Drosophila melanogaster: one gene and its partner. The protein of the gene in region 2 interacts with the protein of the main gene of each other region in a pairwise test. Each region holds a gene or a part of one and is shown on either strand. Other genes may lie near its edges.

The links.
Region 1: the proteins of JMJD4 (region 2) and CRAT interact in a two-hybrid assay, tested with the Drosophila melanogaster proteins (one large-scale study listed by BioGRID).

The regions. Positions count from the first base shown.
Region 1 is NT_033777.3:6,369,875-6,377,168, reverse strand, and holds CRAT (carnitine O-Acetyl-Transferase), read left to right. Parts: upstream 1-3,143; 5' UTR 3,144-3,323; coding exon 3,324-3,355; intron 3,356-3,594; exon of another isoform or gene 3,595-3,692; coding exon of another isoform or gene 3,693-3,709; intron 3,710-3,788; coding exon 3,789-3,867; intron 3,868-3,932; coding exon 3,933-4,999; intron 5,000-5,062; coding exon 5,063-5,311; intron 5,312-5,370; coding exon 5,371-5,932; 3' UTR 5,933-6,143; downstream 6,144-7,294. Other genes in the region: CG42564 (uncharacterized protein), read right to left, coding at 1-786, 1,755-2,149, 2,469-2,690; CG10286 (uncharacterized protein), read right to left, coding at 6,275-7,294.
Region 2 is NT_033779.5:18,155,235-18,161,520, forward strand, and holds JMJD4 (jumonji domain containing 4), read right to left. Parts: upstream 4,039-6,286; 5' UTR 3,848-4,038; intron 3,780-3,847; 5' UTR 3,307-3,779; coding exon 2,684-3,306; intron 2,630-2,683; coding exon 1,975-2,629; 3' UTR 1,876-1,974; downstream 1-1,875. Other genes in the region: CG15155 (uncharacterized protein), read left to right, coding at 1-118, 181-294, 357-591; CG5783 (uncharacterized protein), read left to right, coding at 843-1,049, 1,108-1,334, 1,391-1,567, 1,621-1,873; CG42750 (uncharacterized protein), read right to left, coding at 6,195-6,286. UniProt on the Drosophila melanogaster protein: Catalyzes the 2-oxoglutarate and iron-dependent C4-lysyl hydroxylation of eRF1 thereby promoting the translational termination efficiency of eRF1. May be involved in regulation of chromatin structure, promoting expansion of heterochromatin.

The DNA of each region.
Region 1 (7,294 bases), on a different chromosome or scaffold from region 2:
AAAGCCCTTTCCATGGTTCTAATAGTTGCGTCGCCTTCTGCGCCTTCCTGTTGCACGCGGTCATCATCCACCTCGTGATTGCTGGATATGACCACGATCTTCCGGCGACCATGGAACATCTCAGCCCGCTTTATCAGCGCCAGGAAGCGGGCGAACTTCTTCTCCAGCGCAGCCCTGTCCAGAGGCTTTGGCATGGGTTCCAGTAGCCCTTCGGCATGAGCTTCTTCCCCTCCTGGCGATTCGGAAGCGGGTGTCCCTCCAGCTGTTGGTGCAGGAGTGGAGCCTTCTCCCTCCACCGGGGTGACTCCTGGAGTGGCTCCTGGCGCTGCTCCGTCGACTGCTGGAGTGGCTGCAGCTTCTCCAGGTGCAGCTGCTCCTCCTTCGGCGGCAGGCGCTGCTGCTGCTCCATCGGCTGCTGGTGCTGGTGCCCCACCTTCAGCTGGCGGCGTTCCATCAGCGTTTTCGCCGTTGAGCATGACGAAGTCCCGTTTTCCAAGAGTTCTAGTTTTAATTTCGGGACTGGACGCGTTTCCTGCTTTCGGCGTAACCTTCTCGTAGACCTCGGACTCGGCGCAGAGATGTGCATATTTCGGGTTCGCTCCGGTCTTGCAGGACTCCGCCGCCTTTTTCCCGGGCTCGTAGACGGGCGAGCCCACAACCGGGGCGTGGCCATAGTTGCACGCGAAAAACGTCTGAATCCAGCCATGCCGGGACTGCTGAACGATGGCACAGCCCACGGATTCAGCGTTCTCCAGCACGATCTGTAAAAAGTTGTACTTCGGCGACCTGATAGATGGGAACACAAGTTGAAGTTGATTAATTCCGTTTTTTCATATAGTAATAAATCATGAAACCCACATTTATTTTATGTATTGAATGTTCTTAGATGTAGCCTGGAAATTTACAAGCGAATCTTTATATAAAATATTTAATTTTCGGACCAACAAATAATTAAAACTTTCTAAAGATAAGTTCATGGGGTTGAGTTCTTCTATTAAAGCTTATAAAAAACAATCGTTATGGATATGGATTATGGAATAAGCTAAGATAAATAAACTAAGGTAAGTCCCCTCTTAATTAATTGCAATCAATATCATCTGCAAGAGTCATCCGGCAGAATGCAATCCCTCGCCAGAGAAGAGAGCCCAATGGAATCCACATGCAATCGTTTTATTCTTGAGAAGATCGCGAAGCGTACGGCCGCATATAACATAAGAAGAATTTCATAACGGAGTGTTGTTAAAAGAAACTATATCATATCAAATATTAATATCAATAAAAAAAATGTGAGTGAAATCAACATCAAGACTAAATTACTATAATTTTCCAGCGGGTGGTCATGAAAATAAATGGATTCCTCTCCTTTAAAAGTTCATGTAAAATTGTCAAAAGGCATTTGTCGCACACTCGCGTCCATTATTTTGCAAGCCCTAATATTATTTTAGAAACAAAAAAAAATATTTATATTATCAACATTTATGTTGTCAAAATATAATCAATTGGTGTTTATAGTAATTTTGAAAAATTTAATTTTTAATTTAAGAAGAAAAGTGACAGAATTATAACATTCAGATACTTTGTCTCCTAATAACAACAGGTACAATTTTTCGGTCTTTTTATAAATTTAGATAAGATTTAGAAAGGATTACAAAATATTAAAAAATAAATAATAATCATTTCAGGTTGAAATATTTACCAAATCCCGTAAGGACGCCCGAGTAAACAACCCTATATATTCCTTAAGTGGTACTCACTGAGATTCCTGCTCGACATACTTCATGATGTTCACCATCGAAGTTCTGGATTTTTCCCGCAACCACACCCCTATGATATCCCTAAGGATATCCTCCAACTCTGGCAATTTTCCTTTAATGCCTCGATACCCAACCGTCTGGCCAGCGTTTTGCGTGAACTTCGTGTTCCGGCACTCGTCGTGCCTCAGGACACAATCCCTCACATTGAATTCAGCTAGGTAGGCCAGTTCCGGGTTCCACTTCAAGGTGCCCATCCGACTGGCAGGACTCAGTCCGTTGAACCCTCCTTTGGCCACGCTATCCCTCAACTCATTAAATCGCCTTAATAGGAATCTTTCCACCTTTGGGCTTATCACTATGAGCTCAGCGTCCAGAGAGCACTTGTCGTGCAGTTCCTGAAGATATTATTGGTAACAAGTTAGGATAGTAACGCATTTTGGAAACAAAAATAACCCAGAACTTTTAGTATGACATTTTGTAACGAAGGTATACCTCTCAAAAGCCAATCAATTCGAAATTAATATTCGTCACTAATCAATTTTATCAACAAATTTTATGACATTGAAAATTTGAAAAAGTCCTAAATTAATTTATATTTGGCTTTCTTTCAACCATTTATACCTTATATAGTGTATGCGAACAAAAAATGTTGTTTTGTTAATTTGAATTAGTTGGTTGTTATCACGTGGCACACATTTTAGTTTAGTAACTTACGATTGATGCGTTGCAAGCCACATGTTTGAGTTCTTTGTGGCACAAGGAGGGATCGCAGTAGTCCGGTAGTTCCGTTGAGGAGCTGTTTCCTGGCTCCTCTTGACCTTGCGAACCTCCAGGAGATGGGTGACCAGCTTCGGTGACCGCTGGACTTGGTGTCGTAGTGGCTGCCGTTTGAATGGTCAAACAACTGGCAATCAGAAAAACGACAAGGGCCAACATTTTTCATCCAGAGACCGTGGCGTATTAACGTTAGTTTTTCAAAACGTAGATCAAACGGTTCGGACTGTGAAATCACAATTTGCAAAGATCAAATGATACAGCAAAACCAATGGTAGAATTTTTAGCAGATTAAACATTATATTGATAGTTTGGTTCGTCTCATAAAAAGCCGGAACAAATTATTGGGCAAAGTTTTTTAAAGCTTAATTTTGGATTTCCAAAAAAAAAAAATTGAAATCTTAAAAGTTCACGTTATTCTACTTAATAATATTAACGTTTTGAGATTATCATTCGTGCCGAAAATTTACTAAAGTAATTTTTCTGCAAAGAACCCCCCTAGTTTTTTATGAATACTAGAGCTGGGAATTCATCGATATTATTCACAAAACGTACGCTAGCTTATCATGAACATATATTGCATACTAATAGTATTGCTTGTTTTCTAAATATTAGCTTTAAAGAAGTTTTGGAATTGCTTGTGATTTTAATCGATTGTTATCCATTATTGATAGCACAGTTAAACCAACAACAGGGAGTGCTTATTTACTTGTTGCTGTTTGACAACAGCTGTTTCTTGTTTTGATTTGAACATACAAACATATATAAACATATATGTTTATATAGAATCTATAGATGTTAATTAACCGGAGCAAAACAAGAGTGAGGTAAACTTAAATTCTTTATTTGAACTGATGGGCAAGGACAGTCGAACCAGTTAAGGATTATATAAAAAGTGGTTATATATCTAGATGGTAATCATCGTGTATTTCGCTGGTATGGTATGGATATTAAGAGACGCACTCTTGGGAGAGCGAAAGTAAATAAACCGGTCGCTGATAGCATTTAAGTTGGGCTCCACTCCACTCCCACCCTTCTGCCTACGTGGACTGCTCTTTCGATGGCCAGTTGATTGGCAACTGCCGTTTTGCTTGCACTTGCCTCCTCCGCTGGCTGCTAATCGTGAGCCATTAGTTTATCGCTCCTTATAGCTAGAAGTAGATTATGTACAAATATCAAAGGTTAATTCAGTGCCACAGGCACACCAACCGGTGGTTGGACTTTAAAGTAACACTCGAATACCATTTCTCCGTTTTGCAGCCCAACGTCTGAGCGAATCCTCGAGAAAACCGAAGCCGAGATGAAGTTCCGTGGCAATGGAAAGCTTTTGTGGAATTTGGTAGTGCTCCATATGGAATGCTTGTGATTCTCCGTTCGGTAATCTGTATCCCATTCGATTTCCAGACCAAGAACTCCTTGGCCCAGCAGTCTCCAAATGGGATCGCCAAGAAAGTGCTGCCCGCTAGCAGCTACAGCACCGTCCAGAAGACCATTCCCTTGGAGCAGCCGAATCTGCTGAAGTACCACGTCCTGCCGCTGGAGGAAACGCTGAACCGCTTCATGACCACTGTGGAACCTCTCCTGACGCCTGAGGAGTTTCAACGGCAAAAGGGAATCACCTCCGAGTTTTTAAAAAAGCAGGGACGCGAACTGCAGCTGCTCCTGGAAGAAACCGGCAGCAAGGAGAAGAATTGGCTGGCCCACCGCTGGCTGAAGGCTGCCTATTTGACCTATCGAGATCCAGTCACCGTGTTCGTGAGTCCTGGCATGACCTTTCCCAAGCAAAACTTCAGGGACTCACGTGCTTTCGTGGACTATACCGCCAGGGTTATCTATGGACTGGGAGAATTCAACGACATGGTGCACGCCAACAAAATTCCGATCGTTAAAATGGGCAAGAACGAGCTGGACAACAGCCAGTTTGGCAAGGTATTCGGCACATGTCGGATTCCCAGAAGGGGCACCGACGAGATCGTGTACAATCCCGACTCCGATTATGTGGTGGTGATCTACAAGAATCACTTCTACCAACTGAAGATATACAGTAAGGAGGGAAAGCTCATTGCTGCACCATGTCTAGCTGCTCAACTCGAGAATATCGTCTTGAAGGAAACGCAAGTGGGAGTTCCTTATGGTATTCTGACCACCGACTCCAGGGACAATTGGGCGGAGGCCTACGAATATCTGGTTGAGACTCCTGGCAACCGGGATGCCCTCAAGACCATTCAGGGTGCTCTGTTCACCGTCTCACTCGATGAGGGTACTATCCTAAAGGAAGGCGAAGAGACCGACGAACTTATCCTATCGCTGATCCATGGCAGTGGCAGCAAGATAAACAGCGGCAACCGTTGGATGGACAAGACTATTCAGCTGGTGGTAAACCCCAATGGAAACGTCGGATTCACTTATGAGCACTCGCCGGCTGAGGGCCAGCCCATTGCGATGATGATGGACTACGTGGTGCAAAAGATGTAAGTTGAATAGGGCGCATGTGGTTAAAAACAACTTTATATTTATAATTTATATTATTTTAGGAAGGAAGACCCTAGCTTCGGGCAATCTGGCTCACAGGACTTTGCTCCTGCACAGAAAATACAGTTCTCTTCGAGCAATAAAAGTCTAGAGAAATCTTTGAACGTCGCCCAGGAAAACGTGGATAAACTTGCCGATGCTCTCCAAATGAAGGTTCTGAAATTCAACGGCTTTGGAAAGGATTTCATAAAGAAACAGCGTCTGGGTCCGGACAGCTTTGTTCAGATGGCGCTGCAGCTCGCCTTCTACAAGTAACTAGATGATCTTCCTACAGATTTTCAATATAGCCGAATACATTTACGTTTTGCAGAATGCACTCGGAACCACCTGCGCAATATGAGTCGGCGCACTTGCGCATATTCGACGGCGGACGAACCGAAACTATACGCTCTTGCTCCAACGAATCCCTGGCCTTTTCCCGCGCTATGCAGGACCCAAACGTTACCGATCAGGAACGCGCCGCCAAGCTTCGTGAGGCAGTAGTGTCTCATCAGACGTATGCTAAGCTGGCTCTTCAGGGAAAGGGTGTGGATCGTCACCTGCTTGGACTGAAGCTGATGGCTCTGGAGCACAGCAAGCCAATTCCCGAGTTCTTCAAGTCGCCGGGCTTTGTTAAGTCCAGTCACTTCCGCATGTCCACCTCACAGGTAGCCACTAAATACGATGCTTTCATGGGATACGGCCCGGCGACTGACGATGGTTATGCATGCTGCTATAATCCTCGGGATAATGACATCATATTGGCCATATCCGCTTGGCGCCATTGCCCAATAACGGATCACTTGAAGTTCGTTAAGACCCTCGAGCAATCCTTTTTCGAAATGAAGAATGTTCTCGAGAAGAACCCGCCTGAGACTAAGTCGAAGTTGTAAAAATGTACCAGAATAATAAAATTTAGCAGGGATCAAACTTTGAAGGACTTGATTTAACAGATGAAAGGATTTGGACTAGAATGGACAAACACTTGCTGCACTTGAAAACTAAATATGCTTTACATTTTAGCTATGGAATCAATCGATCTATTAACGCTTTTTTAAGTGGAAAACTTGTTAGTCGAATATTAATAAATACAAAAGACATGACAATTAGGAAGTTACAAATTTAACAGATTTTTTCTGTTTCTATTATCGTCGACAAATATTTTGGCATGCTTAAGAACTAAAAGTATTGTTCTCTGAAACTAGACAATAGCTTTAATTAGTGGTCATGTTAATTTATTTTTTACAGTTCTTATTAAGATAAAAAACAAAGCGTGAAAAATTAGTCTTCACTGTTTGCACTGTGGCTCGTCGCTCCTTTAGCTCCCGTCGCTGCTGCCGCAGTTTAGACTTGAACAACTCCTCTAGTGCCTGGACACGATCGCACATCTCCAACTCCGCGATGATCTGCGGCCAGTCGTCCACTGCGAAAATGTCCATTAGTGCATCTAGTCCTTCAGACAGGGCCCACAGGTCATCTTCCTGGGCACAGTAAGTCAATAGGAAGAGCACTATTGCCTTAACCAGGGGCTCTGAGAGCAGAGAACCCAGCGTACCCAGCATGCGGTTCCAGTTAACGCGAATATTTATATCTGTGCACTTGCTAGCGCCCTCGATAATCATGTTGAGATCATTCTCGGTCATCTGGCCGAAAAGATCCTTGCGAGACTTGAGCAAACTCAGCGAGGAGCGCATTAGTGACGTAATGGCCTCCATAACGGATACATCTTCACTTCCCCTAAATGCTTGTTGACCCAAGATCATCCACATGTTATAGAGGTTGCTGCAGCCCCCCAAATCTTCAGGGGGCAGCACATTGCATAGGTTCTGGAGGCAAATCAAGTATGATACTCTTAATTTTTCCACTTTCTCCTTGATATTCTCTTGCTGGGACACAAGATTTTCCACAGCAGGTTGCAGTGGTTGAGCCTTTTGCCATAGTTTCTCGATCACTTTGTTTTGTTTGATAGTCTCCAAGAAGTTGGCGGGCAGTCCCCCCGATCCACTGTCAGCTGTCTCGTCCTCCATGTCGTAATCGGCCACGCTCTCAGACTCTGAATGCTCGCTATCTGTATCCCAGTTGCTCTGTTCATCGCTGGAGCCCAGGTTGGTTATAATCTCCGCTACCAGGCGCTGGGCATCTAGCAAGTGCTCGAGGTTCTTGAGTGCTACCTCGGCATCGCATTGGTTAGGTTTCGACTGATTGGCACTCTGTGTTTCCGTCATATCCTCTGTCTCCATGGAGATTTCCAGCAC
Region 2 (6,286 bases):
AAAGGTATTTCAATGTTGCCAACGACATTATTCAAGCGAAGAATCTGAAACTAGATCTCGACTGTGTAACACTTTCCCTGGTCTTGAGCAAAGAGGAAGCCCTGCTTTTTCAAGTAGAGTAAGTTCATCCAAAAATATATATAGTGCATGTGCCTAATAAACCGCTCTAAACTTTAACAGACCTCCAGCCGGATTTTCCCTTAAGCCGGTAGATATAGACGATGCTCAGGTGATTAATGATCAATGGGAATGGAGTGAGCCGGATTCCCTTTCCGTGGTCCGCCGTCAAATTCTGTATGACACAGAAAGAAATTCATGCTATTAGAAATAAATTCTCAATTACTATTACTTCGCAGGGCTCCAGATGGCTTATTGGCAGTCCTTCAGGTCAAGACGACCTACAAACGCAGAGGCTTCGGCCAACTGATTGTGAAGGAATTTGCGAGACAAGAGGCTCTGCTGGGACGCGATACAATCACCGAAGTGGTTCCGGAAAACAAGGCATCCTTGGGCCTGTTCACCAAACTGGGCTTTAAAATCAACGACCAGTGTCACTGGCTGATGACGGAGCCGCCAAAAGGAGTTCGATAAGATTAAGGACTTGTTTATCTGTAAATGTTATTTTTTTTGTAGATTTAAATTATTAAAGCTGATAAGTTTTAGCAGCTGGCAAAAAATGTACTGGCTGGCCATAAGAAAACCACACGTAAGAGAATCTAACGATTTGAAGAGATTGCATGAAGAGAAATAGACAAGCTGCTTGATTGAGTCACCCAAACAACAATCAAATGAGCCATTTTCACTCGGTCGCTCGAAGGGGAAGATTGTTTCGCTCGACCAATATGGGTACTCGATTAGAAGTTATTGGGCTGAAAGATATCCAGGAGTTCCAACAGCTCTACAAGCAAAACTGGCCAAAATATTGCCAGGAATACTACTGCCTTGATAACTTTGTGGAATTTCTGAAAAAACAGCCCCATATGAGGAATATTAAGATGTACACATTGGATGCAAAACAAGCCAGAGATGAAGGTCTTTTTGTTATAGTGGTGAGTTCTACATATATGTATAGACTGCAACTCACTAAGAGAGGCGGCCCTCTCTTAGGATCGCTATCAACTATTCGTAGGTTGCTTGAACAACACGAACGGCCTTGTTGGAAAAGCTCTGGATTTACTGGACTGGTCGTCGGGTTTGAAATGCAGTTCTATACCCTCCAGACACATTGGTGCCCTGGATAGTCTGGTGGAGTCCAAAAAGTTGAATCTGGTGTACAGGGACTGCACGAATTTGTTTTTTATGAAAGCCAACGACGCTCTCAAGCTGAAAGTCGAGTAAGAAATAATAATCCATTTAACATAACGAGTTTTATATGATCTAAGTCTTGTAGACCTCCATCTGGATTTGTTTTAAAGTCGTTGAGTGTGGCAGATGCTCCATTGGTTAACGCAGAGTGGCCCAATCATCATGAGGGATCTTTGTTCTTCGTAGAAAGGCAGATTCGCCTGTGCGTCAGTGTTGGATTGTACCAGGAAGACACCCAGGAACTAGTTGCCTGGTGCATTAGGTAAGACGAATGTATTTTTATAAAGACACATTACCTGATATCGAAATCTGTAGGTTACAAGGCGGCTACTTGGGCGCCCTGCAAGTCAAAGATACACACAAGCGACGCGGATTTGGCAGTGTGGTGACTAGGGAAATAGCATACCGCCTAGCCGTCCAAGGTCACGATGTAATGGCTCTCGTGGGCCCCTCGAATAAGCCGTCATCGGAGATGTTCAGCAAACTGGGATTCCAGGTCATCGATCAATGCTACTGGCTAAGGACGGAACCCACCGGTGGGCAGTTCACATGGCCCGAGGGCGAGTAATTGGTGTTTAAATGTCTGTATTAAAATATTACGACTTTCGGTTGTATATGAATACAAGTATTGGTATAAAAATATGCCGAGGCATTTGAGCTGTGCTTATTCTAAAACTCTAAACGAGCGAGCAATCCCTGGCAGCGATCTTCTAATTGGAGGGGACTACACTGGATAGTCGGATCCTCTGTTAGAGTCCGGGTGATCTTCCATAAGCACTCGAGATCGTATTGCACATGATAATCGTTCATTGTGTAACTATCGAATAGTAAAAATTTGGTGGCTACGGTTCCCTCTGCCAATCGGCGAGCGGCTATAAACTCCAGTAGTTCTATAAAATCGAGGTAGTTGATACCAAAGCTGGCCCTCAGCATTGTCTGGCAGTGGGCCTCAAAGTTGTCCATCTGCTGGCAGTCGGAGATCTCATTGCAAACGGCCTTCAGGTTGTTCTTAAGGTTTTGCCAGACCATGGATATGTTGCAGCCATTGAACCAGTTGTGATTGACGGATATGGTGTCTGTTAGGTTCCACACCTGATGAAACCAGCCACTGGGCACGAAAACAGCTTCATTGGCCCGCTGATTAATGGTGTAATATCGCACGTTGTGCTCATCCAGCATTTTCTCGTCTATACTAAAGGGCAGGTTTCCCAAGCGATCGTTGAGTTTGAGTTCTTCTCCCGGCGGCATTATCAGCCATTTCTTAAGGCCCACTATATTGGTGGACCAACTGAAGGAGCCAAACACGTCCGCATGATAGGAGGTCCTAGAATGGAAGGTAATTTAGCATGAGAAAACCAGGTAAGGCATCAAAATAGACCATGAGTTCTTGGGCCCCATATAGACGAATCGATAGTCGTCTTTCCCCTGCTGAATCAGTTGTTCGTTGAGCCAGTCGGAGGCAAAGTATTTAGGCACCTTGTAGAAGTTATAGCCCGGCATTTGGGCAGCCAGATGCCAGTCCTTGAGGTAGAGATTGTCCCCGCTCGCGGGAGCCACATTACTATTCACTTCCGCCGACGTCCACGCTGCTGACGATTGACTTTCGATGCTACTCCTCCACTTGGCCAGGTAGTCGTGGAAGTTGAGCTCCAGTTTGGTGTGACTATTGAAGTACGACGAATTGCAATTGGCAACTGGAACCGGGCCATCGCTGATCTTGGTTTTGAGGTAGTCAAAGTTGATGGAAGATGCACTCGGATTGGAGTTGAGATCCCGCGACTCTGGACTGGACTGGCCTACAGTCCAGTTCTGGCACTCCCAGTCGTTAGACACATTGGCTATGATGACCGGTATGTTCTTGTGCATGTAGCGCCAGAAAAAATCGTTATAATCTAGTCCAGAACAGCGCTCGATTTCCTCGGGCAGCTGTGGGTCAGTTTCCACGACTTCCTCGGGATGCAACTGGAGCAGGACATCCCCATCCCGCTCTTCGGACGCCATTCGATCTGGCTGTGGGTCTTTGAGGCGCTCAAATTCCTAATCATGCACTGGCTGTTCCTTTTTGAGTTCCTTGTAAAAAATTCCAAAACGATATTTGGTTGCAACTTTTCTGTGTGACCATCGCAAATAAAATAACATATGGTCTTGCCGTTATATCAATGTGACCGTTTACAAGTGTCTTTATAGACGATAGACGATTTGGTATTTTTCAAGGATGGGTTTGAATGAAGGCTACGAATTCATTTAAATTAACTTAAATGGAATCTATGAAAAAAATTCTTAAAATGATAAAGCTAGCACCCCAATAAGTTAACTTCACCAGATGTTTAATCAATAAATCCCACATGGTTATTTAATACGATTTTTTATCAGCGATTACATGTATGTACGTTGGCTGTTATTTATCTAGCACAGCTTCGAACACAATGAATGTAAAAACGTGTCGTAACAGAAAAATTCAAACTCCCCGAAAACTGTGGATAACATTTTAATGGAATTTTTCGCATAAAAAATTCATAAAATTAAAAAGTTTTTGACATACCGTGACTTGTCGCGCCATGTACCGTCGGCTTATCCCGTCGATTTATTCCGCCGACTGTATATATATATATATATATTCTTCATCAAGATCAATAGCCGAGTCGATCTGGTCATGTCCGACTGTCCGTATAAGGAGCTATAAAAGCTAGAGGGTTGAGATTCAGCATACAGATTCTGGAGACATAGACTCAGCACAAGTTTATTGACACATGTTGCCAAGCCCACTCTAACGCCCTAAAATCGTCCAAAACTTCGACGTCCACAAAATTATTATTTATTTTTGATAATTTTTTTTTATAATTTTATTAACCTTGCAAATTTCTATCGATTTGCCAAAAACCTTTTTGCAAAGCCCACTCTAACATCCTAAAACCGCCCAAATCTGACCTCCACATTTTTGAAAATTGTTGGATATTTTTTCATAATTTTATTGATCATGTAAATTTCTGTCGACTTGCAAAAAGCTTTTGGCACGCCCACTCTAACGCTCTAAAACCACTTTTAACAAATTTCAAATTTTTTACTCATTTTATTCCCCAATATCTATCTATGTATATCCCAGAAAAATGATGAAATTTTGCGTTCGCATTCACACTAGCGGAGTAACGGGTATCTGATAGTCGGGGAACTCGACTCTCTTGTTATTTTTTAGAATTCACCTATAAAAACCGAAAAAATAAATAAATTAAGAACCCCCTTAAGTTCCACATTCCACCATTCCACGTGTTCCAGCAATAAAACAATTTATTATTTTCCTTAATTGGTTTTATATTTACTGCAGTTGGTTTGCCTTTAGAGTTTTATTCGCTAAACATTTTACCATTTTCAAGTTTTTAACTACAATTTGGTTTTACATATGCATGTCTGAGATTGTGTGTTTGTTTCTGTTCAATTTCAAACTGAGAAAGAGATCAAATAAGTGTAAGACATTTTGAGAATCGAGTTGTAGTGTATATATGCATGTTGTTCTATGCTAGTCGGTTTTTATTTCTAGATCTAGGCATATTCGTATATGTATAAACTTTACAGATATTTATTTTGCGACCTTCCAGGCCAGACTTATAGCTACATGATTACCAACAAATCTGCTCATCAGACCAGTACAGTATAATACGCTCGAATCGCTTGCTAGAAAACTATATAATGACCATACAAATTAGCGTATAGGTAAAAATGCTATATACACATACAAAATCGTACAAAACGTAACAGTAGATTCTCATGCTATCAATCGTTATAAAGGTGTTTACAATTTATTATTCGGTTTCGGTTTAGAAAATGTACAATTATTGATTTTGTCTTGGGTTTTCGGTTTTTCGGTTTTACATTTTTCGGTTTTTCGGCTTGCAATATTGGTTTAGTATGTATAATTTGTTTACTTAGGCTAAGCGCATTTTTCTATATTTCCATCTTTTTATTTAGAAGGTACAGAGAGACTGACTGAGAGATCTATGTATCTGTGTATCTGGTAGGTGAAAACGAATGTAGTATGTATGTATGTACTATATGCTGCAAAACTTCTATATCATTATGAATTTTTGCTATACTTATTGTGATCGGAATCTATGTACAGTGTTCGTGTAGCAGGCAGTGCCACGTCTACACGTTGCTTACGAACTAATTTAGTATTCATTACGCTATTTATTCATTCAGTTTCGACGCCCTCGAACTGCTTAAAAATTTAACTAAACATTTCATTTACGTCCCGCCCTCGCTGGAACTAAAGTATTTAATTACTTTACTCATTGTTTATAAGTGTATGCTTTCCCACTCATAAGTATTCGCATTGGATTTAATGCTAAATCAAATACTTTGTTAATTAAATATCTTAGCTTAATACATGCTTGATATGTAGTTCTCATGTAAATTAGTGAAATAATTGAAAGTTCACAGAAGAGAAGTGGAGTGTTTGTTGGTCCAGTTGGAGATGAGCTAACAAAGTCTGGTTTCTATATGGATTCGAGGTAGGAAATAACTTAGTGTTACGTTAATTTTGTGTGGGACTCTGGTGCAATTTATAAGTAGGTGTGTTCTTCCTTGGCAGTCTGTAGATTGTCATAAAATGAAAAGAAATTCGATTCGATTACCAAAGGGAAAGATCGAGGAAGTTACTTCCCAAGCCAAATAATCAGGCATTCAAATGTTTACGTATCTTAAAAATATGTATTTAAAGCTTATACGAATCGTAGGTATCTATATCATTAGTTTAATTTACGTTCCTTTAAATTTGCTACATAGGTCTATCCACTATACATCTGAAGCAGCAGTTCAATCGATTTCTCCTACGATTTTGGGTACATCCCCGGCATTTCCGGTACAACCTCGGTGTGTTTGGATCCGCTGCTCAATTAGCTGGACGTACAGTTGTACGGGTCGTCCGTGCGGAAGTTCGGATGATCCTCGAAGGGTTTCACGCCCGCTGCCTTTTTGTCATCCCTCA